7 linked regions of the Oryzias latipes genome follow. The protein of the gene in region 1 binds, or shares a complex with, the protein of each later gene. Links are inferred from orthologs where the notes say so. Each region holds a gene or a part of one and is shown in the gene's direction. Other genes may lie near its edges.

Region 1 (4,226 bases):
TTGTTAAAACATCAATCATGTTAACATCACTCAATACTTTTCTTATAAGGTTTAGCTGAGCTGTAAGTATTGTCTGTCGTTTCAAAGAAAAACAATCTTTGGAACTTAAGCATTTTTGGAGGTACTGTTTTTTAAGGAAACACTGCCACAGGACACTTACTGCTTTCATATAACCGATCATTTAAGTCCTGATTTATTTTTCTGTTAGTACAGAGCAAAACATTTCACAGACACATCTGTTAGATGTCTTAATTGTGGCTATTTCAATGGATATGCATCATATTGACATCAATGCCTAGAGGCCTATCAGACCTTTTAGCAGACGACTTTCACACAGCTAATCATGTCACGGTCCCAAAATATAAACCAGCTGCCATTTTTCTTGATAAATAGGGTAATTATATAACATATAAAATAATACAAAAGGTGCATTAATGGTGGTTTTGTGTTCTTTAGAGGACGTCTTTCAAACTGTCAAGAATGCACCAGAGGACAGTATTCGTAAAGATGCATACAACAAGATTTTCAGTAAAAAAAGAACAATCTGAATGTGTCTAAAAATGGGATTACTTTGGTGAAAGTGACTGTTCAGACTATACTTGTTCAAGCATATATACTGTGGTTAGCAGAGGTTACATGGGTAGAAGCTCAGCCTGGTTTCTAGTTTGATTCCAAAGGACGTGCAAGCATTCAAAGCTACTGGTCAGTCATCACACATTGAGCTGGGGCCCTATGATTTCACAGGCGTTTGACACTGGTGACCCAATTTCAAAAGGTAACCCCTGCACCCACAACCCATCTATGACGTATCAGCCAGGCTTCCCATCTGATCCAGATGCTTTCTGGACAAGAGAGGCCCTTCATCAGTCCCAGGACGACCAAAGGTGGTTTAACATGTCACAGCTTGAAGGTTTCTTCATCTTCATCTCTGCCATTAGTCACCTTCCTCGCTGCATTCTGCACAGTGTCCTGGAAGATGTCAAATGACCAATTTTCCGACCTCGCTTGAGATATAAAGATGTTTTTAAAAGAGATATGAAGGACTTCCAGATAGATCCTGCTACTTGGACTGCTACTGAAGCGACAGAGGGAGATGGGACACCACCTTAAAGAGAGGTATCAAAGTTGTTGTATCAGACAGATTCTAGAAATTCTACTATGGAAAAACGTTTAATTTATTTTGGAAAACCCTGAGTCTGGGGGATCTGCTTCATAGGTTGGGAAGACTTAGTCTAAAGTAGGTATGGATGACCAACGCAAAGGAGAAATGCTTTTATAAACAATACACTGTTTTTGTTTTTTAACAATGGAAATGTACAAGGAAGGAAGCCAACATTCTCTACACCATTCCGCCACCTGCTGGATGCGGGCATTCATTACAGGACACTTGTTCAAGCAGCTGCAGGGACTAACTGCGTCCACTAGGAGGCGCGCAACACCGACAGTTGTCTGCAGGCAAAGATGGCGGTGCGGAAGAAAGACGGCGGCCCGAATGTTAAATATTTCGAAGCATCTGACACCGTTTCTCAGTTTGATAATGTCCGCGTCTGGTTGGGAAAGAATTACAAAAAGGTACTGTGGGCTTGTTTTTGTGCGCATGCTCACAGAGTTCTCCTTTTCACCCTCAAATGTGGGCACTTACCCAGTGGGCAGAGGCAGTGACAAAGAGAGGAGGGAGGGTGCTGCTGCTGCTGCTGCTGCCGCTCAGCGTCCAGCTGTTTGGGATACAAAAGGATGCTGAGCAAACAGCTGCAGCACAAGCGCGCGCTTCAGGCGTTCTGCGGATACACGTGACTGCAGATAAACTGCCACAAAGGCAGCGCGCGACTCTTACTCGGTGGACGGATTTGTTTTCTATAAAGAAAATACATGACTTTAGCCTGCTAGCTGGCTAGTTAGCTGCTCGGCTAACGGTGAAGCAGCGCAGATCCAGATGTTGGCTCAGAGGCACGTCTGTCTTGAATAACAGCTGGCGGGCCTCAACTAGGAGCTCTGACTTGACGAAGACCTCTCAAGTACTAATCATGAAGTAGACTGTTATTATTATTATTATTTTTACAAATATTTGAATGATTGATGTTTTTAATTAGAGCTCTTTTTCATGGGTGAAAATAAAAGCACTGACATTTCCAGAGTTTACGTGAATGCGGCATATCAGCCATAGAACTATGTCTACCAGAAATGCTGTGTTTTAGTGTTTGGTGTATTCCTAACTTTGCGTTTTGTGTCCAGTACATCCAGGCTGAGCCTCCCACCAACAAGTCTCTGTCCAGCCTGGTGGTCCAGCTGCTGCAGTTCCAAGAGGAGGTGTTTGGCAGACATGTCAGCAACCCCCCACTCACCAAGCTGCCGGTATTTGCTTCTCAATACTCATCATCTTCCTCAATGTAATGATGCTTCACTTTTTGTCCTCTGTAACCTATTATTTGAAGCATTTTCCCTCTTTCTGCAGATGAAATGTTTTCTGGACTTTAAGTCTGGGGGGGCTCTGTGTCACATCCTGGCTGCAGCCTACAAGTTCAAAAGTGATCAAGGATGGTAGGGGCTTCTTTCTAGCGGATGTTTTGAGGATTAGACCTGTTAATCCAGTGAAGAATCAAAGGTCTCAACTGGATTTTGGCCGGGTTTGAGTTTCGTGTGTAACTCCAGTCTAATTTCCTGGTAGGCGCAGGTTTGACTTCCAGAATCCATCGAGGATGGACCGAAACGTTGAGATGTTTATGACGATTGAAAAATCTCTGGTGCAGGTGAGTTTGTTTCAGCAATCGTTCTTCATGAATAGTTACCTTCTACACAACTTGCAAAAGTGTTTATTTTCTAATATCTTCAAATCTCTAAATTATTATTATTATTATTAAAAACTGTCAATTATTTACCTTTTACAATTAGGTTTAATTTAGAATTAAGGATTTGATTCAGTTTGAATGAAACTATTTATGTGTATTTATATTCAGAAAAACGATCCACGTTTATTGTTTTTTATGCAAGTCTGAATTAATGATAAAAAAAACATTGAGAGATTTCATGTTTTTGTTTGGTGGCTTCAGAATTTTTGAATATTTGCAGAACCAGTTTGTTTATTCTTTAAAGTTCCACTCCAATGAAAATTGTGTTGTAGTTGTTTTTTTACATGTTCTTGTGGCATTTTTCTGATGATGGAGCACATAGATAAAGAAAATTGAGATTAAAATTGAATATTTCTTTACTCCAATATTTGTAAAATACAAAAAAAAAAAAAGCAGTTCGAAAAAGATCTTGTTTGTGACGTAGAAAATATGCTGGCTGGGTCAAAATCTTCCTGCTTTGCTCCATTCTGATGCATCCACCTGCAGACAAATAGACCCATGAACGTCTTTGTTCTCCTCGCCTGAGCTGGAATCTGGATCAAAACTGGATGGCTGGATAGCTCTGATGTTGCTCACCATTTTTGTTGCACTGATAATGTTAGGTTTGGCTATAAGGGGCTGAAAGCTAGCAGGAGAGAGTGTAAACAAAGGGATGATGGGAAGTAGAGGCAGGCTTACTCCCTACAACTCAGATGTAAATTTTTAATGAACTCCTGCCGCTCTGCTGAAACTATGTCCTAAAAAAATGACACTTGTTTTTAGATTTTGGCCAAAAGGTGCATCATCATAATTAGAAGACCGCTGGGAACGCTTTGAAAATACATCAGAAGATGATCGGAGCAGGATTTTAATGACAAAATCTTTGTGATGTGACTTTCGTTGTCCAACCCAAGGACTTCAGGGCTCGTGCAGTGTCTTTATTTGCAGAAGCAGAGATGTTATGCTGAGAGGAAAACAGCATTTACATTGTAATGGTCATGTGTTTTTTAAATGTACTCCTTCCAGAACCACTGTCTGTCACGACCAGTCATCTACCTGAGCTCTGACATCGATCCAAAGCTGCTGGGGAAACTGAAAGACATCATCAAAAGGCATCAGGTGTGTTTGTCATGTGAATGTTATGCCATACACCTCAAGTAGGTGTTGCTTCATTTTTAGGGCTCCTATGGGTTTAAACCTGTGAATACATATGATTTACACTCTTTTCCTGATTTGCAGGGCTCAGTGGCGGAGGACAAATCAAACAGCTCCCATATTGTGGTTCCCATCCCTGCCAGTCTAGAAGAAGGTGAGGACTTGGAACTGGACTGCTGGATGGATGTTTCTTCTTCAACATGCTATTCTAACTCCAACCCCTTTTTTATCTTTCAGAGGAATGGG
Region 2 (3,500 bases), on another chromosome or scaffold:
ATTCTTAAACTTTCCTTTTCACATTTCAGAAACTGCTTTTAATCCCGGGTGACCCCCCCCCCCCCCCTCCCCACTGTCTAATGATTTGTGTTGGTTCTGGTTCCAGGACTTTGTCAAACTGGGTCTATGAACTCGACAAATGGGCTCCTTCTGTCGTCAAAATTGCTTACAAGGTAAAAAAAAGATTTTTGCAGCCGAGGCTCTGACGCCGTGCTTTTCACTGACTCCAGCCCCCTCCTCATTCCAGGGAACTCCCGCTCTGCGCCGGGGGCTCGTTCCTCAGCTTCGCAGCGGGAAGTTTAACGTCCTGCTGACCACCTATGAATACATCATTAAGGACAAGCACATCCTGGCCAAGGTGAAGGAGATCAAAGTTATATTCTGTACACCAACAGCTTTGGGATGTTTCAGTTTTCTGAAAGTTTCAGGAAGTCCAGCGGCTTTTAAATCCACCGCTTTGATTTGAGATGTTTGAATAAATATCAGTCAACAGGTTTTACAGTTTACTGACCCAAAATGGAAGCATATCATTCTTCACATGAGTGAAGCCTTGATGTCACTCATCTGAAGAATGTCACGCAGCCATCATGCACGTTTGGCGCATATTGCTCCGATGTAAATTGGTCACAGGTGAATAGACGTGGAAAAAAAGGGGGGAAAGGTTTCAGTGTAATTTTCACAGAAGTGTCACGAATGAATCAGGTTAAAAACACGGAAGATGTACAAATACACCACGCAAAGAACACGTAAGCGTAAAAATACGTCCGTCAATGACGTCATCTAGACGTGATGTGTGCGCCGTATACGCGATGTAAAAGTTAGACATCGGTGGTTCATGCGTGAAAAGTCTGTTAGACACACGTGGAAAGAAACACATGCATCTCGCAAAAGTCACACAGATTTACATAGTAATTGTATGTAGTATGTTTTTTAGTAAGTACGTTTTATTTATATGGCGCCTTTCCCAGGTAAAATCACAAAGCGCTGAACAATAAAACAATACCATACAGTACAGTAAAAACACATTAACAATCAATTAAATGTAAAACTAAATGAAAGAAAATAAACTTTGAATAGAATTAACAAAAAAACAGTCAGCTAAAAGCATTTTTAAATAAATGTCTTCAGTAGACTTTTAAAAGAATCGACAGAGTCGTATAAACTATGTTTCCAAAAATTCTGGATACCTCAAAACCGAATTGGCATAAAGACCCGTCGTTCAAAACCCTCCATGTACATCTGCACATCCAGGAATGACAGCGGCAGAAACACTTGAGTTGGGTTTATCACGCAGGGATCACGACGTGCTGGCCGTCAGACACGGCCTTGACGTGAAAATCACAAGCAGCTTTTCTCTCAGAAGAGCTTGGATTGGCCCTCAGACGGGACGGAGCTGTTGGCTGCTGGGGGGCTCTCACAAAGATCCACATCAGAGATGTGCTGCTAGAGGGAAAACACAGTTCTAATGTAATCTGATGTCATGTGGAGAGACATGAGCAGCAGGGGGAACCGCTCTGGAGCTGCAGCACAAACATGTTTGATCCACAGCCAGAACTTGAGAAAATGCAGTGGATAAAAGGTGTTTAAGGGGGGGGGGGGTCATAATTTAAAATGAAGGGTTAACCATAAACAGGGAGGGGTTACATTTGATTTGATTTGAAGTGGTTTATTTCAAGCAATCAAAGCAACAATAATGCATAAAATTCAGGTGTCCATTCATACAAAGACGTATTAAACGTAGGATAATTAGACGTTCAATCAAATGTTGCTTAAAGAGAGAGGAAGGAAGTGAACTTCTAGAATCCAACCCTGTTCCACTGTAACCATTTGATTACATTAACTATCATTATCCGGTTCATGACGTCTATCAGACATCTATGCCTTACCAAAGAATACATTAAGAATCCTTAAGTATCAAGAAATCACATGACAAAGATGAATGACTTAAAATAGACATAACTCTATTTTAGAAATCAACATAGAAGCAAATGCAGATCAGTTATCTAAAATATATGCAACTTATGTTCATTAGAAAAATTCTGACTATGATTAAAAATAACACTATTTCAGAAAAAATGGACATAATACTGTTTCAGAAATCTTCATAGTGTTTGCAGATCAAGTATCAAAAGTTAAAAAGATGTGCAGATTATTTTTCATTAGAAAAAAATCATTTTTTGGGGGGAAGTGAAGTATTTATCACTTTAATCACTTTAACCATCCTCAGTAATAGTTTAAGCCATTTATTATTATAATTATATGGTAATGCTGTGAACACAAAAAGATGTTTTTTCTGGTTCCATTTACCGCTAAAACTAAAGTCTGCACTGACGTCTGAAGGATAAATGTGTCAAAACGGTCAAAAACCAAACACGGACGTGAAACATTCCTTCCTTTAGATGAAACGACCGTTTTTTCCCTTTGCAGATCCGTTGGAAGTACATGATCGTGGATGAAGGTCACCGCATGAAGAACCATCACTGTAAGCTGACTCAGGTGCTGAACACCCACTACGTGGCCCCCCGCCGCCTCCTCCTCACCGGCACGCCGCTGCAGAACAAGCTGCCCGAGCTGTGGGCTCTGCTCAACTTCCTGCTGCCCACCATCTTCAAGAGCTGCAGCACCTTCGAGCAGTGGTTCAACGCTCCGTTCGCCATGACGGGAGAGAGGGTGAAAACACCGTCTTCATCCGTTTCCTTGACCAGTTTTTGTACTGTCAGCGCTCCCCTTTCCTGGTGGTGTGACTCTCAAACGTCTGTTAAAAACACTTACACCACGGTCCGGCTGAATACGCCATTCTGATTGGCTGCTGGGTGTGCATGAAAGACCACAGTGATGACCGCAAGTAGCAAGTATCACTATCCCCTCATGCACTATGGAGACACACTAGTCTCACTGCACATTTGTGTGTGTACCACATGCAATACCATCGATGTGTACCAGTGTGTACTTGCTCTTGTGTATTCACATGTACAGTCGAATAGGAAATACAATTTACACACACACAAGGTGAAATGACGCCAACTTCAAACTTTCAAACGGCTTTTCCACAATCTAAGTTCAAACAGCAGATCAGAAAACTCTGATGACCCAGCATTCTAGCAGCATTTGAACACATCATCTAGGCACACATCTGAAGGCCTCCAGCACTGGTGGCTCCCTGCTTTTGTCGGCGTGTCTGATGCGATGGGTGCGTAGATTTGTACGCCTAGGAGCCGTTTTTTGAATTCCCGGTTAGTTTGAAGGGGCTGTTCTTTTCTAGTTGCGCGTAAATTGTATTTCGTATTTGTACATTGTTGATATTTGAGTGTGTCAATAATCAATTGCACAAATATGCACAACATGTACTATATGAGCTGCAAATCCAGAGTTACGCACACACAAACATCAAGTGTGTCTATTTTCTCTCTATTGTGTTCAGGTCCTGATAAACTGCAGAACATAAGACTAAAGATTTGAAAATGGAAACTCGGTCCAACATTTGAACATTTTATCGATTT
Region 3 (3,500 bases), on another chromosome or scaffold:
TTATTTTATTTCAATCCCATAAGCGGGTTTATTCAGATTTAGTCAGGCGTTGCTTAATCCTCTTGCCTCTAAGCATTAAAACTCAATGTGCTTTTCTTTGTTTTGCTTTCAGGGCAATAAAATTTACCAGGAAACGTAAACTTACATCGTCTTTTTGCAAACCTATTTGTAATCTACGGTAATATTTTAATTTTTTTGCTGCATGTTCCCCATTTAAGGTCACAGGGTTGCTGGAGCCTGTCCTTGCTACAGTTGGACAGAGGCGGGGTACGCCCTGAACAGGTCGACAGTCTTTTATTTTGAAAATTTGAACGGATTTGGTCTTCCTGCCTGAAAGACATCAAACAGTGGTGATGCACCCTTTCTAAGCTTTCAGCTTTTGTCTTATTTAAAGACATTTTAAACTTTTACATTTTTACATGTTTTGATTTTATTCTTTTATTTATTGGCCGCTTTTAATTGCTGCTACTCAAAATGAGCGAACCAAAAAATAAAGCTCTAAAGAGTCATACGAACATTGTTCTTTGGTTCTCCAGGGGGGGAAAAAACATTTTTATTATCAATCACAGTGGATTAAAATAAATAAACAACACTTAAAAACAAATACCTGAAAGAGTTTTATAAATTATTCTTAAACTTTCAGACAGATCAGATGTTGGAACAGATTTGATCTTTAAATCAAATTTGTGGCAAAATAAATAAAATGATAAGAATCAAAAGCTTTTCTGTGCGGCGTCTTCGAGCGAGCTGGACTTCCCCGCAGCGCCGTCACGTTCCACGACCTTTTCCTTTCTGGAAACATTATTTTTATCAAGTTTCGTCCAAACCTCCCCAGTTACCGCCGTGGAGGCCGGACCGACCCCTCCCCCTGATGAAGGCAGACCTTTTTTTCCATTAACACCGGAGCGAACGGCTGCATACAAGGCTGTTTAAGCGTGAGTCTTTTAGAAACAACCAGCGGCTGCCCTTCACTCCGCATCACCGCAGAAATCTGCTTTTTGTTTAAAAAAAATCCACTGGAGGAGTTTCAGAGCGAACGTGACGGCTTCTCAAGGTTCCTCTTTTCAGCCGGCCGCTCGGGTGCTGCTCTCTCAATGACTCAGTCCAAAGAATGTTGTTTCCACCTTGAGATACAAATAATCAGCAGGCCCCCCCCTATAGGCTGAAGAGCCGGGTCCCCCCCTCCCCTCCTCTGAATAGACTCATCTTCAGAGCTTTATTAAAATGTTCTTTTTCATCATTTTCTCCCCTCTTTGTCAGATAAACAAAGATTTGGCCGACGATCCCGCATGCATACATACAAAAAATATCTAATATTTAAATAATATATATTTAAATATATTCCCTACATAAATCAAGGTTTTTGTCTTTGTTATAAACTTTTAACCTTACCCAAAATGGGATAATTCCAAGTTTCTCTGATGGAAATATTAGGATATCTTTGAAATTTAATCTTCAAATTCAATTAAAATAAGTAAAAAATCCTTTATTGAGGATAAATGTTGCAATAATTCTTTTATTCTTGTCAAATAATTAAAGAATTTTAATTTGGATTGATGGTAAACGCTTGGCACATGATATTCTTAATTGGATTTTCAATTAGTTTCATTTTATAGTTTGTGGGTGTGCGCCAAAGCCTCCCAGCCAGCTCTCGTTTGAAAAACAGGGACTTCCTGGTTAAATAAATATTCAGCCAAAAGGAACTCGTCTGATGTTGCTTGAATTTGTCCTACAGAAGTTCTTTCTTCCTCTTAATCCTCCCGTTTCTGGCTCAGGCTTAACCACGTCTGTTAATCTACATTTTGTGTGTATTTCTGTGAAAAACACCCTAAATGTAAAGCAATATTGCTCTTTTTGGTGCTTAAATTTTCCAACGTCATGGTTTTTTTGTTGTTGTTTTTGTTATTCTGCTCTTAAAAATGTATAAAAATATTTCATTTTAAATTGCTTTCTGATCTGATCATCGTTTACTCTCCTAAACTTCCAAGTCAGTCCTTTTACATTATGATAAATCTAAAATATTTATGTTTAACATCTGACATTCTGTTAGGATTTTCTGCTCGATTCGTCTCAGTTTGTAATTTTTCTTCTTCCGCATTGCGAGAGCTGTTGGATCATTTAAATCCGTTAAAAATGAATGAATTTCTCCTAATTGGTGGAAAAAAGATTTATCATGGCCGGGATATCAGCTCTATTTTATTCCGACTTTTTCCTTTTTGTTTATTTACTATATTTGAGATTCTTTAATAGGAATGACTGTATATTAATACATTTATGTACGCTTTTGGTTGGTGGGATACCTTAGGAAAAAGTGAACTTTGGTTGAAAAACATTGATCTAAATAGTTAATAAGAGGTGATCTGCCTATATTTTCTAACTTCTTTCTAATCTCCAACATTTAAGTCTTCATTTTTTTTAGTGAAAATGGTATTTTACTCCACAACTCAGAGATGAACTTCTAATGAACTCCTCCTGCCGCTCTGCAGAAACTATGACCTTGAAAACCACACGTTTGTTGATTTTGCTAATAATGGTAATCAAAAGACCTTTGGGGGTGGTTTGAGAATAGATCCAAAAAGGATTCAAGTGGAACTTTGAAGAAACGTAACAGAGTTTATCCTGTTCGTAATGAATCCATTAGTTGTAATCACTTTAATGCAAATGTCTGCTGGCAACCTTCATGACAAAAACCGCCAAACGCTCCACTCCAGCTCACCTGCTGGTCGCCTACCTGCCGTTTCAGTGGCACCGCACGCCCACCACCCAGGAGACGGACGGCTTCCAGGTGAAGCGGCCGGGCGACGTGAGCGTGCGCTGCACGCTGCTGCTGATGCTGGACTACCAGGTGAGGGGCCGCAGACTCCACGCCGCCTGCATGTCTGAGGGCGCCGCGCCGAAGGCTTGAACGTGCGTGAAAAGCCGAGTAACGTGATGACCTGGCCTCCACAGCCCCCCCAGTTTAAGCTGGACCCTCGCCTGGCTCGCCTGCTGGGCATTCACACGCAGACCCGCTCCTGCATCATCCAGGCGCTCTGGCAGTACGTGAAGACCAACAAGCTGCAGGACTCCCACGATAAGGAGTACATCAACTGTGACAAGTACTTCCAGCAGGTGCGTGACGTCATAATGCAACAAGATCCCACCAGTTTGACCCTTTTTTAATTGTTTTTCATGAATTTAACTGATATTCCTCAAGACAAATATGCAAAAAGCTGAACGTTTTTTGGCTCTGCTATCATCCGTTATGGATAAATGATTTAGAGGATCTGCAGAAATGGCTGTTTGGTGGTTTTCCTGCAGTAAAAAAACATTCATGATTATTAATGAGCACAGAAACGCACTAAAGCGGATGGAGACCACCAGGAGGAAGAACTCGGTCTGGATGGATGAAAACAGGGCTAAGAGTCCTTTTTTTTTTAACTTCTCAGAAATCTGGGATGCTGCATCCTCTACAGAGAAGAGACCACCCAGCCGGTTATCAGCCTGTGATTCAAACTCTT
Region 4 (4,064 bases), on another chromosome or scaffold:
TTCTCCGTTAGCTTAGCGGCTAACTGTTGACGGCTAACTTTACCTGCAGGTTTTCCTGTTCGTCCACCAACAGGAAACTCCGCGCGCCGCCGGGACCCTCTTCCGGCTTCATGGAAACTCTCTCAATTTCCTTCATCAGGACCTCAGACATCGCTGCTCAGGTGTTTATGTCATAATCGGGACGCGGGAGAAGAAACGAAACTTCAACATGACTTGTAATCACAACAACAGAGCGTGCGTACGGAGGGCGGGGCGAAGGAGGACGTAAACTTCGACGTCACCCCCACATTCTGTGCGATAGAGTGCTTTAGCACCACCCTGTGGTCAAAGTGTAAAAGGCAGCTTTGCCATTCATGAAATCAGCGATCACGGCATGATTTCCTCACTCAAAAAAAAAAAAAAAAAAATCTGTGAATTATTTCATGTTTCCAATACGTTTATTTTTATAAAATAAAGTTTAATTTAGGACAGTATTGATGTATTTGTTATTGTCCTTCAAAACATTCCCTTTGTTTGAAAATCTTCCTCACAAATAACACAAAAACTGTCGCAGGGCGTTTGGTTTGAGCAGTGGGGCCTTTTCGAGCTGCTTGCTAATGTTCATTAAATATTTGTTAGCACAGATCTATAAATATCACATGTCACTGGATTCAGAGTGGTGGCTCCACTACTGTGGCTCCACTGCCAAACTGTAAAGACAAATCCAGGCCTCCTTGCTCCTACCCCTCGTCCTCCTGCCTCCCTCCGTCCATCCCTGCAGCAGACGACAGGAACAGCACGAATTGGAGGGGTTCCCACTTCTCAGGCGAGGAGGCAACGACAGACAAATGTCTGAAAGAATCAATTACATGCCCACTCTCAATCTATTAATGAATAATTAAAGGTGCTCGGAGCTTTGAGACACGGCTCTGTGCATCCAACCACATCTGAAAGTTATCATGCACACTTGTTTTATGATTTTCCAGTGTTTCAGGCTGTGATGTCTACCCCCTCCTGTGCACAAGGCAAAAAATGATCCAAATGCAGTTTTGTTTGAATCCTTTAAGACTATTTTTTGTTCGAGATTCCTGTGTGGGATCAGTAGTCCCGACCTCTGTCCTCACATGTGAGGCTGATCTCCATCCCGAAGCTCCACCAGGCTCAACTGGACTTTTTTTCTATACATTAGGACAGGGACGGCTCTGCTTACCTTTCAAGTACGAGGCGGGTCGCTGAACCACTGGAACCCCCTACCCCCGCCGGTATTTGTAGTCATCATCTGTTGTCCGTCCTCCGCGCCGCCGTGCGCCAAAACTACAGTTCCCACAAGCAGCCACGGTGCGCTCCCGCCTCCCATTGGCTGTGCGCTGAAGCCGCAGCCCCAGAGAATGAATGAAATTGAAATGCTACATTACATGTAGAAAACCACCGGCTCTGCGGTGTTGCATTCTATCACACTATATCAAAATGGCCACAGCGGTGCAGAACCCCCTCAAATCGTGAGTACCGTTCATTCTCCGCTCCTAACATCCGAGCATGCTGTCAGCGTCATCTCCTTATGTTCTAATTCTGATCCTGCTCCACCACACGCTTGATGTAAACGGCGGAGACCGAGATTATGATGCCAATGAAAAGTTAGCCTATTTTGCGGGATTTCGTGTCGGTGTCCTTTTTTTTGTCACTGAGTATGCGCTGCGGTTCCTCACATCCCGTACCCGAGCCAGCAGCAGCGCGCGCGCGTATGGAGGAATGCTGGGGGAGCTCTGGGTGACCCGGCATGTCCCTTGCCGGTGTATGAACCCAAAAGATCGGTCAGATCCAGGCTGGGGGCTGAGTCGAGCTAACATGGCCCTCCAGAACCTGTTAGCGCGCGTCTTTAGAGGCAGGACGGAGCTCGGAGCGGCTTTCCGGCTGCAGCCGAACTACTGGACCTGTGGGAGATGGAGAGGCGGAGGTAAATACACTGCGTCTCCCACGCTGACTCCATCTGAATGGGATGCCGGCGCTTTGTACCCTAGAGTGAGATGATTATCAGCCGGTGGCGTGTTTAAAGCGGCCCCTTCTCCCTAAAGTTTGTCCGTTAACGGTCCGTTTTGCACATGTTTTTATTCGGAAGGAGGGGGGGGGGGGGTGTCTTTTTCTGGAGGAATGCAGCGGCGCGCGCTGATGCTCCCGGCCAAAGACAGAGGTAGCCACCGCGCGGCTGTCAGCGGGTGCTGGCACTAATCTCCCCCGCATAACGCATAAAGGCGCAGGCACCAACCCGCCGGCACCACAGCGCTCCAACTGTAGCAGTTTGAAACAAAGAAAAGTCTGGAGACCTGCGCGCCTCGGCTGCTTCACCTGAGCGCACAGACCGCGCCGGGGCGCGCACACGCCGGCGACATTTCACGCAAACCCAGATCAACGAACAGTTTGGAGCGTGGACGGAACTGCCAATTAAGAAACTGCTCTGAATGGCTGTGATGGTATTTCACCATTTGTTGTTCAAATCATGAGTGAATCGTCAGGTGGGTCATTTCCATCCACACAGTCGCTGTTATTTGACTGTTAAATGTTTATTTTGAGGCGGGCAGGTGACGTTGGGATGGAGAATCTTCAGGATGTGGCTCTCCTCTGTTTTCTCTTCTCCACTTTCAACTCTTCCTCCATTGCATGCCCAAGCTAAGCAACCGTGTGGCCAGGTTGCGCCCAGAGACTTTCAGTGAAACCATGTCGGGATTCATTTGACTGATTTGCAAGGAGTCTGCAGCAGAACTGGGAGGCAACAGGAGAAAAATGAGAGGAAAAAAGTCAGAAGGCAGCTGGGCCAGAGGATAATGAACTACATCCTAGTGTTGAAAACACAGACTGTCCAAATGAGGGATGACAAAGTGTCTGTTTGGACCTTCAGTGCAGAACCCTTAAAAAGCTGAAAGTCTGCATCAGGTTTAGAGGTCTTTCCTCTAGATGACTTTATCATGGTCTGGTTGAAGCACCAAATGAGCTCTGATATACACTCTTGAAATTAGCATGTTTGCAAACAAACTTGTTATGGAGACTTGTAAATTAGAGCCCCCATTCTGTGAATCGAGCCAAAGAACCAAAGACTTGGTTCAAAGTCAGCCCTAACAGGGGGGGCTGGCTGCGTGCCGGAGGCAGAAACAAAGCCTGTTGTGTCCCAAAATGTCTTTAAAGCTAGCTGAGTCTCAGCAGTAAATTGCAATTAATTCCGTGTTTGTTAATTCCCATTGATGCCCAGGATCCAGCCAAGCTGTGCAGCCCGCTCATGCTCGGCTGGACGTGTGTGGACGTACAGTGGAGGGTTTCATGTGTGTGCAAAAGCATATCAGCAAACCAGCTTCATCCAGTCGGCCTCTCTCTGCTGGATTAGAGAATCATTTAATCTCTCTTACTCTCTATCCTTTTTTCCTGTGATTTCCTCTCTGTCCTCCCATCACCCCCTCTGCCCAGTCTTCCTCCTCGTCTCCCTCCTTCTTTGCCACTTTCTCAATCCATCACTTGTTTCAGTCCATCCCTTTGTTTAACCATTTCCTCTTTGCCTTGCTTTCCCTTCTCCTCTGCCCATTTTCCACAGGACTTCTGCATTTTGAATCAATGGCAGCACCGTGTTTTCAAATGCAGTGCGAGCAGCAGTGAGGGGAGCTTTCTTTGCATTTGATCACATTTCCCTTCAATATTTATATATAAATATTATATATAATATAGAATTTTAGGATTGCTCAAGAGGAATTTATTTTCAGTTAAATGCAAGCCACTGAAATGGATTTGTGGAGTTGCAAATACTTATTTAGCTTAAAAGACAATGTGAACCTCCCATACTTTTGAGCGTTTGTCCTGAAATGTCGGTGTTAAAAGTGGTGAATGTGTCCTTTGGAGTCACACAGGAGACTGTTTGAGTCAAAGCTGCAGTGGATGAGGCATCTCCTTCAGCAGAGAGCTGGTTAAAGGGGGAGATGCAGATCAGTGTGTGCTGTGGTGTTGGAGGCAGTTGTGGCAGGTCCTGTCTAATGATATTTCTGCCCTGCCTGACTGAGCCCAGCTAAATGAGTTCCATGTAATAACTGGCTCTGTGTGCAAACAGC
Region 5 (4,069 bases), on another chromosome or scaffold:
CCTTGGTTTGAGTGTCGCTGGAACCCAGCTTTACACTTCCTCGCTCTGGTGACATCACTGCGACTTGGCCTTCAGCGTTTTTGAACGCTGGACAGGATTCTCAAACCCATGAATTCCAATTATTGTAAAATCATTTATTTGCAAAAAATCCTAAATATAGAATCACTTTATGAATAAGATCTGGTAGGAAAGTGTTATGCTTTTCTATTGCTTTGTCTGTTTTGTATGGGGTGTTCAAGGGCAGCTGTTTATGAGTGGGTGGACTGAAAGACCTTTTTATTTTTTGTTTCATGCTACTGAAAAGTTTCATTAATTGACCCTCCCGAAGAACCAGCTGCCTTTTGTTCACAAAAGACAGTAATCTCTGCATACAGATACAAATAAACCTCAAATTTTCATATTAAATAAAATGCTGAAAAAGAAATCTTGTAAAATTCTACAAAAACATGTTTCCATAAGATGTTGCAAAAAAAACTTTGCAGAAAAAACTGTCATCTTAAATCCCTGAGGGCATTTAAGTTTTTTTATTTATTTAATTTTTTTGGTAAATGTATTTAATTATTTTCCAAGGACAAACTGATATTATACAGGGCTGATGTCAATTGTAAAAAAATATAAATAAAATACAGACTACAGTATTAAATTTCTAGTTTAATATGCCATACATATGAAAAAAAGTTATTTAGCTGGGGTCAGTATTGCTGACTTGCCCTAAGAAATGTGTTTAACACTCTCATTTAAAGAAATTCCAAATCCCTATACTAAAATTTAAAAATAATAATTTTATGCCATTGTAAAGGGGAAGAAAGCAATTCTGGCGAGAACTTTCATAAACCTTAGAGAAGACAAGTCCAAAGAGCAAGATGATTGGCCATGTTTTTTCTGAGTCGTATTCTCTTAATATCCTGTAGAGGGTGCTGTTGTGCGTACTTAAGGAAATTTGTTTTCATTCATCTCATAATATAATATAAATATAAATCCTGATTTATTTTGCCTTAGATGTATTTAAAAACTATTTAAAGTATTATTTTTGTTTAAACATGACAAATTATATGTAAATTATTACTTGAGATATGGTTTATTTGTCAGTCCGTGATATCTTTCCATCACTTTTGTTTTGTTTGCAGCTTCTTTTATGAGCATGTACTTTATAAGAATGTAATAAAAAATAAAACTTTCGATAAAAAGTTCATGAGAAAAAAAAACGAGGATACCGTGTGTAAGAGTTTGACTTTCAGATTTCAGACGGCAGTGAAGGCACCACTTAGTATTGCATGTAGGAGTGTACGACAGGACAAATTCGCGTTTTTTTTTTAATTTATTTTTATATTTAAGCGTTTAAAAGACACCGAGTTTTTTGCTAAATCGGGCGTTATTATTGTCTTAAGTGAGCCTCCCCGTTAAAATGCGGAGGGACAGTTAGTTGGACATGTTAAGGAACGCAGGCAGGGGCGGGGGTGACGAAGAACAGTCGCCGCTCCGTCCGTGTTGAGAAAACCAGCAGTTAGAGCCCGGAACTCGAGCTGTTAAAAGCCGAGCTAATGTTAGCTAGCTTTTTGTTGACAGCGTGCTTCCTGTCAGTGTAGCTAGACTTCTACCGACGCGGCGACGGTTATTTCCAACTCATTTATTTATTTATTTCTGGATTTTCAAGTGACACTCGCTTCCCTCGCTTATTATTGGGCCGTAAATCGTCGGGAGTTTTTCGCGGCACTTTCAACCACTTGTAGCTCCGGATGATGGCATCGAAAGGGGGGTTCACGGGTCCTCCGATGAATCCGAACTTGAACCCCATGAATGTCGGACACCCCACGGGGATGAGAATGCCCGGAATGCTGCAGCCCCCAACGGGTTATCCCCGAAGTATTCCCCAGTTTGCCCAGGTTTGTTTTTATGATTGCCTTCTTCTTTTTTCCCCTCCAACTATTTCTATTACAATACAAGAAAAAGCGGCCAATTCTTGTCAAAATGTCATGGTATGGAACTACTTCCGCCATTGAAAACGGTTATAAAAAATTCCCGTCATCAGTCAAATGGGTTTAACGTGTCATTGTGGCACCAGAGAACATTAATTGGGGGTAGAGGTTTTAAATATTCTGGCCTTTGTGAATAAATGTACTCTGTTGAAGTGTGAACGGGGTCACGTGGGTGCCCTTGGCCTCCTGTCAGTTAGAGAAAACAAAAGGAAGTTTATCATCACCACCATCTATCCAAAGACCACTTATACCATCCCTGTTCCAGCACCATCTGGGCTTCATTTGGACCCGATTGTATCCTACAAATTAGAACCATCAAAGTTCTGATGTATGTTTTTCTGTGAACGGTTCATAAAATGTCAAACTTACTCACTGTCCAGTCTTCAAAGCACATTTTCTTTTCATATAGGAAATAAGATTGTTTGACAGTAAAAGAACTTTGAATAAATATATTAAAGTCCCACTCGATCCTCGTTGGATCTGCTTTAAAAACCTTCCCAGTGGAGTTTTGATTATGATTATCCCAGTTTTTAGGAAATAGTTTCTGCACAGCAGCAGTGGTTCATTAGACACGTGTGTCCGAGTTGTGGGCGGAACAGTTGAGAGAGTGTAAACACCTGGATGATGGGAAATTGTGGCAGGCTTACTCCACTGGCAACAGCTCCGCCCACCAACAGTTCCTTACAACCCCAACATAATATTTTCGGTGTAACAAAATGGCGAGCAACGTCGGGGCCATCCAGACGTACAGATTTGAGCCAAATGCCTGATTCACAATGATTTGAATAAAGGAAACACTCAAAAACACCATTTTAAGCTTCATTTAATTCATGTATGTCCTCCAAGAACATGTTAAAAACATCAAACAAACATGATTTTCATTGGAATGGGTCTTCAAAGTCAAAATTGAGTTCTCAAGGACATTTGGCAATCACATACAAACTGATTATTTTCTTCCATAAAATAAGCCAACAAATTGTAAATAAAGTGGGGCAAAGCTGAAGATGCTCCATCTTCTGTATGAATTTAGTGGTAGGATTTGAAGCAGATGTTTCCTTTTGTGTCTCACATCCTTGTGTTGGAATCTTGGCCCGTTTCTCACTGCAGCTTTGCTTCAGCTTTTAAGAAATGTTACAGCTCTTGTTTCCTTGGAGTGTTTCATTTGGGTTGAGGTCCAGACTTTTGCCAGGCCGTGTCGCAACCTTAACCGTTTCCCTGTGGTGTGACCTGAAGTCAGCTCAGCTTTGGCTCGCCGACTCACGCTCTCGTGTGCTCTTGGTGTACTCTGATTACAAATGAGTTCATGGCCATCTCAATATCTGCAAGGTCTGCAGAAGCCGTGACTAAAAAACAAAGCAGAATCGAAAGGCCCTCATTGCTGTGCTTAATAGAGCGCAGGAAATGCATCTTTTTATTTGTTTAAACAAAATTCTATGAAGGTTCAATTGTAAAAGTATTTATCTTTACTCGTAAAGTTAAATTGTAGTTCAGATTGACATATTTAAAAAAGTTTGTTCCAATTATTGATGAAAACTCTTAGTTAGTAAACTATAATTATTGTGTTTTTAGTTATAAAAGTTAATAAGCCATAATTAGTCCAGTCTATTTTTATCCAACTAACATCAAACCATACAGTTAATTTTAAGAAAAGAGCCCCAATCTTCTCTTTTTATGTTTATTTTGAAGCTATTTAGGTGGGAAACAAAAATGTAAAAAAGTGTAAATGATTGCTTTAATTGTAATAAATTATCGATAAGAAAGATTTAGACATATTCAAAGTAACTTTTCTTTTGTTTAACAATGTTAAAATCCAAATCAGCTCTGAGTTAGACTGAAGGTTTGTGTTTCTACCAGAAATGGACAGAATGGATCAAACTCAATAGAGATCAGCCTCACGTGGGTCAAACGACACGACACGCCAACTGCTTTTCCCTTTTGTTCATCAAACTGTTCTTCTTTCATCCAGCGCCCTGGAATCCCACCCAGCAGGATGGGGGGTCCTATGGGGGTAATGGGGAGTCAGATGCCCGGTCCCTCTTACGGTGGGGGTAACCTTCCCATGCGGCCAGGCATGGACGCGTCAAGAAAGCGTT
Region 6 (2,870 bases), on another chromosome or scaffold:
GTCCACCTACTTTCCTTGACAGAACTTATACTGAGATCTGGAGTAAAGTATGTTGGTCACTATTTGATTTAGTAAAACATAGAACTCTTGTGCACTGTGGGATTCATGTCTCTAGTATTCTGCAACACTGCAATTTGTTTTTCTTTGACTCAGACTTCCTCTGCTTAATGCCCAGTATTCCTTCTAAACTGCAGAAAAAGGGGGCTTGTTGGTCCAGATGAAGCGCTGTTGCTTCTCGTACCCTTTACTGTATTTAACCCTCTTTCCATGACTCTAGGATGCCCCTGTGTAATGTTTATTATAGCATTATTCTGCCCTTGCAGCCTAAAGTCATTCCCAATGCTATATGTGGCATTTGCCAGAAGGGTAAAGAGTCCAACAAGAAAGGCAGGCCTGAAGCTCTCATTCACTGCTCCCAATGTGATAACAGCGGTAAGTTTACATCCTACATTTTTAAAGGACTTCTCCTCCTTTGGATCGTTTTAATGTATGTTTTGTTTATAAGTTAAACGCTGTCATTTCCAATTTCATAGAATCTACAGCGGCAAAATCATATTTGTGCTGATTTTGTACCTTTTTCTCAAATAAGCAGTTTCTTATCTCTACTTTTTTTAAAGTTGTATACATTATTTTCTTTAATTATTAAACTTTTGAGGATTGTTAGCTGGGAATTTAAATGTTATCCGAATAATAATAATCATAAAATGTGACTAAGGGAGCCCTGTGTACAGCTTTGACCACATTTGCATATCTATCAGTCTGTCCCTGTTGCTCGCCTGCTTGTGTCTGAGCACACAGTGCTCATTTATTTGACCGTGTGTGTCTGCGGCCTCCTGGCTCCTGCACACTTTCACTCGCATCCATAAACTGTAGGTCACCCGTCCTGCTTGGACATGAGCTCTGAGCTGGTGTCCGTGATCCAGACGTATCGTTGGCAGTGCATGGAATGCAAAACGTGCACCGTGTGCCAGCAGCCCCACCACGAGGACGAGATGATGTTCTGTGACAAGTGCGACAGAGGATACCACACTTTTTGCGTTGGCATGAACTCCATACCTACAGGTGAGCTGCTGAGGAGAGTGATGGGTTCGAACCAACGATGTTCAAGCATCGGCACACTAAAAGGGAGAGGGGAAACGCATTTATTTTTTATTATCTCTTTGTTTTCTTTTATTGTTTAATACTTTTTTTTGTTTTTCCAGGTCTTTGGGTGTGTGAAGTTTGCGACCAGGGTTTTACACCCAAGAAGAAAGGAGGGGGCAAAACACCTAAAAAGTCCAAGTCAGCCAAAAAGTTATGATTTAGTCATTTATTTATTCCAAGACTGTTGTTGAAGTAAGATTACAATTAAGCATTCAGTTTGACAAAAGAAAACATAACAATGTAAAATAATTACAAATTCTAGATCTTGTGTCCACACTTTCATTCTTTTATATGACTAAAGCAGGAATTATGATTTAAAATCAACAAATTTTCTTTAAAAAAAAAAAAGCCAAATACTTACTTGCTTGTTTCTCTGTGATGTCGACGTACAAACAGTGTTGTTTTTTTACTATACCATACACCTTTGAGTCAATTTTACTGCAGAAAACCAATAAGTTACCCTGTGGGGTTCCAAGCATTTCTTTGGGAACTTTATTTCAGGTCAGCAAATGGTGCTCTTCATTACGTACTACTGATAGTTAGTTTAAAACAGGGCTTTGGTCGAACAACTTTTTGTACGCTTGTGGGTTTCGTAATGTATGATCATTTTTGTTCAAATTCTGTGAAATTTGCATTAAATAAATGGGTTCTCTGATCCTGTACGCCTATTTTAAGTGAACAAGGAAAAACTATGTGTTCTGTCTGTCTGCTTAAGTTTCTTGGTTTTCGAAGTGAATTTTCTGTGGTTTTTGTTTTTCGTAGTTTTACAAAAAAATCGAACTTAAAAAAAGTACTCTAAGACTGAATCTGTAGGTATTTTTTATATTTCTTTTTTAATTTATTTCTTTTGCATCATCCTGGAATTAATGAGTTACAAAATGAGAATTTCAACTAATGTTTATTCACTGCAGTGTTTTTGGTTTGTTTTTCTTTTTTTCTTCTTTTTTTTTAGAATAAAAGTTTCCTTTAAAAGGCTTTTTGTGTCTTGTGTATTAGATAAAATCACAATTTTGACAATTTAGTGAGGAAATATAGTTGTTTGTGATTTTATGATTTTGTAAAAGCAATGGCCATGTAATTAATATCTATTACACTTCTGGATTCCTATAGCAAATCATATAGTGACATAAGTGTTCTATATAAAAAATGTGATTGTTCTTTGGACCAACTGTTTTGCTTGGTTTCTGTTTTCAAGTCTCAGCTGACAAAATTAAAATATAAATAAATTATCTGTATCAGATTTATCTGACTTTCTTTTAATCAAAAACAAACTTTTCAGAAATGTTTGTGTGTTAATAAATAAGATGCAGTGTACAATACAGTTTGTTACATATATGTACTTGTATATTGTTATATAAAATTAGTCCATTTATTGTATTTTGAAAAATAAATAATCAAACGACTTGTGCAGGCAACATTTTAAATATAGAGCCTGTTCTGATGTTACATCTATGCGCCTGTAGAGGCGCTGTCGCGCACACCATATGTGGTCACTCATTTACCGGCGAAGAAGAGTCTGCCATATTGCAGTGATACAGCGAGTTTGCCCGGCTGAAATCTCCAATCTGTTGGCTATCTTGGTTTAAAAATGCTTTCAGCTCAGAATTTTGGAGAATCTGGAAAGATGAAAGAATACCATTATGCGGGACCCACGGAACATCGGTTTTCACCATACGCCTTCAATGGAGGGTTAGTTTTATTTTGATCATCTTGCATTGCGGTGGTAG
Region 7 (3,500 bases), about 1.8 Mb from region 1:
GGAAAACAAGGGGTTAAAGGGTTTACAACATTCAACCAATTAAACCAAATTAGAAAATGGAAAAGGTAGATATTCTGGGACATGGAGCACTGATTGGATGATGACGTTTGTTTGCCTTTTCAACCTATGTTATTTGTGATGGCGGTATCCACAGGCAGAAGCTTCTGACCACAATCACTGCAAAAGTTCAATCAACCTTTTACCACAGTTCAGGTAAAACATCCTTCTGCTTTCCCTCTTCTTCAAAGCTCAAACATGATCAACCAATCAGTGACATCCCATTGTGTCTGCCTTTTCCAGTTTCTTAGTTTGTTTCCTTATTTGTTTGGATTTCTAAAATGTAGTGCTTTTTCTGATTATTTGTTTTGCTTTTGTACTGTCATTGTGTTCTTTAATATGTTTGAGTGCTGAGTGATTCATTGATCTGATTTGCACTTCGAGGCCTCTGTGTTGTAGTAGAAAATGTCTCCAGTCAAAAGGATGATGAAGCTGATGAACCAAGGCATTTCCATAAATCTGATCCCTTTCATTCTAACTCAGACGACACCTTCCTGCTTAAAGGATGTCCTAGAGCAGCTTCTTGATGCTGTCGTGTCTTATACCGAACCAACGGGACGCCTAGTCAGTGAGCTGTTCCAGAAGCTTCCCTCCAAAATGGTACATGGGACCCCGACAATTCATATGTTAGGAGTCTTTACTCTAATTTGAAGTCTCTCTTTTGTTTAGCAATATCCAGACTATTACGCCGTCATCAAAGAACCGATAGATCTGAAAACCATCGCTCAGAAGATCCAGGTACCGGTTCCAACGGAGCTGTCTGGGTGTGACGAAGTTTTTGCTGTTTTTATCCACATCAAGTAAATTTTTTGTTCTAGTTGGGTCACTACAGGAGTTGTGCTGCCATGGCAAAAGACATAGACTTGTTGGTGAAGAACGCTAAAGCGTACAATGAGCCGGGGTCACAGGTTTTTAAGGTATGTTTCTGAGAATCTTATGTGCTGCATAGTGTCCGTCCGACCTTTCACACGTGTTCCTGGTATTTTGTCTGCTAGGACGCTAACACGATTAAAAAGATTTTTGCACAGAAGAAGTCTGAGCTGGAGCACGGGGAACCTGTCAAATCCAGCATCCGCATCAGGTTTGGACCACAACGACCTCTTTAAACAACGTCGGCGGGAACTTCAGCGAATTTTGGTTTGACCTTTTCTAACGTGTTCTCTGTAAGGAATAGAAAGTCAACTCAAGGGGATCGCCTCTCCGCCATCACCATGGCACTTCAGTATGAGAGTGACGAGGAGGGAATACTATCTGGTACCTTTGCTCCTCTTTCGTAAATGGACTTAGTTTTTCTCAGACATTGATGATGCTTCTTTATTTTGTGAAATCCCGTGTTTATTGTTCCTGCATTTGTCAGGCTCTGTCCACTATGATGAGGGGGAATCTGAAGCGGAGAGCATGACATCAAACATGGACATGAGCAACCCCATCTTCCAGCTTTACGAAGCCGTGCGAGGAGCCAGGAACAGTCAGGGCCAACTGATTTCCGAGCCTTTCCTGCAGCTGCCCTCCAGGAAAGACTATCCTGACTACTACCACCAGATCAGTCAGCCCATCTGCCTGCAACAGATCAAGTATGGCGGAAATAAGTGGAATTAAAAGAATATTTTAATAAGGAACAAATTCAGTGTTGGACAAAAGTTTCTCAAGAAAAATGATGTTGTTCACCGGGAAGTTTGTTTACCTCATGTTTTTGTTGCTTTTAGTTAAAAGTTCTTTTGTTTTCTTTGCATTTCTGCCCGTGAGAAGTATTTTCCCCACACATACTCACCCACTGTAAAGTCCAGTATTTCTGTGCCCTCTCCCCCTTCCCAAATGTGAGAACCCTCAATTCCCCACAGGAGCAAGATGAAGAACAACGAGTATGCGAGCGTGGAGCACGTCGACTCAGATCTGACGTTGATGTTTGAGAACGCCAAACGCTATAATGTTCCTCACTCCTCCATCTACAAGCGTGCGCTCAAACTCCAGCACATTCAGCAGGTCTGGTTTTTCTGCTCCAATCATCTTTTGATCTTTATTCAGTCAGCCACCAACTGTGCAGGTTCTTCCACTTAAAAAGATGAGAGAAGCCTGTACTCTTCATCATGGTTTCCCTCATCTAAAATCTCATTGTCTGATTTTTTTCAAATAATTTATTTGTAAATTATGGTGGAAAATAAGTATTTGGTCAATAACAACAGTACAGCTTTGTTATATACCCTTTGTTGTCAATGACAGCAGTCAAATGTTTTCTGTGAGTCTTGTGTTGTTGGTATTTTGGTCCATTCCTCCATGCAGATCTCCTCTAGAGTAGTGGTGTTTTTGGGTTGTTGCTGGACAACACAGACTTTCTTCTCCCTCCAAAGATTTTCTATGGGGTTGAGATCTGGAGACTGGCTAGGCCACTTCAGGACCTTGAAGTGCTTCTTATGAAGCCACTCCTTCGTTACCCGGGCAACGTGTTTGGGATGGTTGTCATGATGGAAGGAGGTTTTCATTTAAAATTTGACGATACATGGCCCCATTCATTCTTTCCTCAACACAGATCAGTCATCCTGGTCCCTTTGCTGAAAACAGACCCAAAGCATGATGGGTGAGATCTTGCGAGGAGTCTCAGATCGAGATTATCAGTGGTCTTGTATGTCTTCCATTTCTTCACACCAAGCTGCTTACCTGTTGCAGATTCAGTCTTTCCAGCCTGGTGTAGGTCAACATTTTGGTTTCTGGTGTCCTTAGACAGCTCTTTGGTCTTAATCATAGTGGAGTTTGGTGTGTGACTGTCTGAGGTTGTGGACAGGTGTCTTTTCTATAGATAACCAGTTCAAACAGGAGCTTTTAAAACAGGTAACGAGTGGAGGAAAGAGGATCCTCTTACAGAAGAAGTTACAGGTCTGAGAGCCAGAAGTTTTGCTTGTTTGTAGCTGACCAAATTCTTACTTTTCACCATAATTTGCAAATAAATTATTTAAAAGTCAGACAATGTTATTTTGTGTCCTCCATCATGAGCAAAATGCTAAAAGACGATATTAAAAACACCAAAACATCATTTTCATTAGAGTGGGGCTTTAAGAACACTATTTTTTAACTTCCATCAGTTTCTTTGTATTTTTCATGAAGTATAATGGCTGAATCCTGTTATTCGTGTAGCTGAAGAGGAAGGAACTTTTACAGAGAGAGGATGATGATGGTGACAGCATGCTCTCCTCAGCCACGTCTGACACCAGTACTACGAAAAGAAAAAGGTTAATTGCACCCATTTCATTCTCTGAACATTCATTGTGGAAGAGAACTTGGTGTTAATTCTGCTTTGTGTGTTTTCTAGTCATAAGAAGAATACCAAAAAGAATCGCATGAAGGCTCTGGTAGCTGCTGTGACTGAGGCGCGAGAGGCCGGCGTTGGTCGTAGACTGTGTGACCTCTTCATGGTGAAGCCCTCAAAGAAGGACTACCCCGACTATTAC

Evidence for each region.
Region 2: smarcc2 (region 1) and probable global transcription activator SNF2L2 share a complex: the UniProt entries of both Homo sapiens proteins name them as parts of the BAF complex. The link is inferred for Oryzias latipes from reciprocal best matches to the Homo sapiens genes SMARCC2 and SMARCA2.
Region 3: smarcc2 (region 1) and smarcd3 share a complex: the UniProt entries of both Homo sapiens proteins name them as parts of the BAF complex. The link is inferred for Oryzias latipes from reciprocal best matches to the Homo sapiens genes SMARCC2 and SMARCD3.
Region 4: smarcc2 (region 1) and dpf1 share a complex: the UniProt entries of both Homo sapiens proteins name them as parts of the neuron-specific chromatin remodeling complex. The link is inferred for Oryzias latipes from reciprocal best matches to the Homo sapiens genes SMARCC2 and DPF1.
Region 5: smarcc2 (region 1) and SWI/SNF-related matrix-associated actin-dependent regulator of chromatin subfamily D member 2 share a complex: the UniProt entries of both Homo sapiens proteins name them as parts of the BAF complex. The link is inferred for Oryzias latipes from reciprocal best matches to the Homo sapiens genes SMARCC2 and SMARCD2.
Region 6: smarcc2 (region 1) and phf10 share a complex: the UniProt entries of both Homo sapiens proteins name them as parts of the neural progenitors-specific chromatin remodeling complex. The link is inferred for Oryzias latipes from reciprocal best matches to the Homo sapiens genes SMARCC2 and PHF10.
Region 7: smarcc2 (region 1) and pbrm1 share a complex: the UniProt entries of both Homo sapiens proteins name them as parts of the SWI/SNF-B (PBAF) chromatin remodeling complex. The link is inferred for Oryzias latipes from reciprocal best matches to the Homo sapiens genes SMARCC2 and PBRM1.

Annotation. Positions count from the first base shown.
Region 1 is NC_019863.2:4,304,330-4,308,555, reverse strand, and holds the start of smarcc2 (SWI/SNF complex subunit SMARCC2), read left to right. Parts: upstream 1-1,426; 5' UTR 1,427-1,461; coding exon 1,462-1,572; intron 1,573-2,232; coding exon 2,233-2,352; intron 2,353-2,452; coding exon 2,453-2,538; intron 2,539-2,665; coding exon 2,666-2,747; intron 2,748-3,851; coding exon 3,852-3,944; intron 3,945-4,064; coding exon 4,065-4,134; intron 4,135-4,217; coding exon 4,218-4,226. UniProt on the Homo sapiens protein: Involved in transcriptional activation and repression of select genes by chromatin remodeling (alteration of DNA-nucleosome topology).
Region 2 is NC_019867.2:1,033,582-1,037,081, reverse strand, and holds part of probable global transcription activator SNF2L2, read left to right. Parts: intron 1-106; coding exon 107-173; intron 174-247; coding exon 248-358; intron 359-2,427; coding exon 2,428-2,670; intron 2,671-3,500. UniProt on the Homo sapiens protein: ATPase involved in transcriptional activation and repression of select genes by chromatin remodeling (alteration of DNA-nucleosome topology).
Region 3 is NC_019878.2:21,175,141-21,178,640, forward strand, and holds part of smarcd3 (SWI/SNF-related matrix-associated actin-dependent regulator of chromatin subfamily D member 3), read left to right. Parts: intron 1-2,743; coding exon 2,744-2,845; intron 2,846-2,949; coding exon 2,950-3,111; intron 3,112-3,428; coding exon 3,429-3,500. UniProt on the Homo sapiens protein: Involved in transcriptional activation and repression of select genes by chromatin remodeling (alteration of DNA-nucleosome topology).
Region 4 is NC_019871.2:18,133,786-18,137,849, forward strand, and holds the start of dpf1 (zinc finger protein neuro-d4), read left to right. Parts: upstream 1-1,264; 5' UTR 1,265-1,371; coding exon 1,372-1,478; intron 1,479-4,064. UniProt on the Homo sapiens protein: May have an important role in developing neurons by participating in regulation of cell survival, possibly as a neurospecific transcription factor. Belongs to the neuron-specific chromatin remodeling complex (nBAF complex).
Region 5 is NC_019877.2:6,918,582-6,922,650, reverse strand, and holds the start of SWI/SNF-related matrix-associated actin-dependent regulator of chromatin subfamily D member 2, read left to right. Parts: upstream 1-1,269; 5' UTR 1,270-1,736; coding exon 1,737-1,883; intron 1,884-3,942; coding exon 3,943-4,069. UniProt on the Homo sapiens protein: Involved in transcriptional activation and repression of select genes by chromatin remodeling (alteration of DNA-nucleosome topology).
Region 6 is NC_019861.2:24,490,012-24,492,881, reverse strand, and holds the end of phf10 (PHD finger protein 10), read left to right. Parts: intron 1-323; coding exon 324-432; intron 433-873; coding exon 874-1,062; intron 1,063-1,202; coding exon 1,203-1,300; 3' UTR 1,301-2,370; downstream 2,371-2,870. Other genes in the region: psmb1 (proteasome subunit beta type-1), read left to right, coding at 2,732-2,832. UniProt on the Homo sapiens protein: Involved in transcription activity regulation by chromatin remodeling. Belongs to the neural progenitors-specific chromatin remodeling complex (npBAF complex) and is required for the proliferation of neural progenitors.
Region 7 is NC_019863.2:2,537,331-2,540,830, forward strand, and holds part of pbrm1 (protein polybromo-1), read left to right. Parts: intron 1-540; coding exon 541-657; intron 658-726; coding exon 727-795; intron 796-875; coding exon 876-974; intron 975-1,052; coding exon 1,053-1,138; intron 1,139-1,225; coding exon 1,226-1,311; intron 1,312-1,414; coding exon 1,415-1,631; intron 1,632-1,898; coding exon 1,899-2,040; intron 2,041-3,186; coding exon 3,187-3,281; intron 3,282-3,361; coding exon 3,362-3,500. UniProt on the Homo sapiens protein: Involved in transcriptional activation and repression of select genes by chromatin remodeling (alteration of DNA-nucleosome topology). Required for the stability of the SWI/SNF chromatin remodeling complex SWI/SNF-B (PBAF).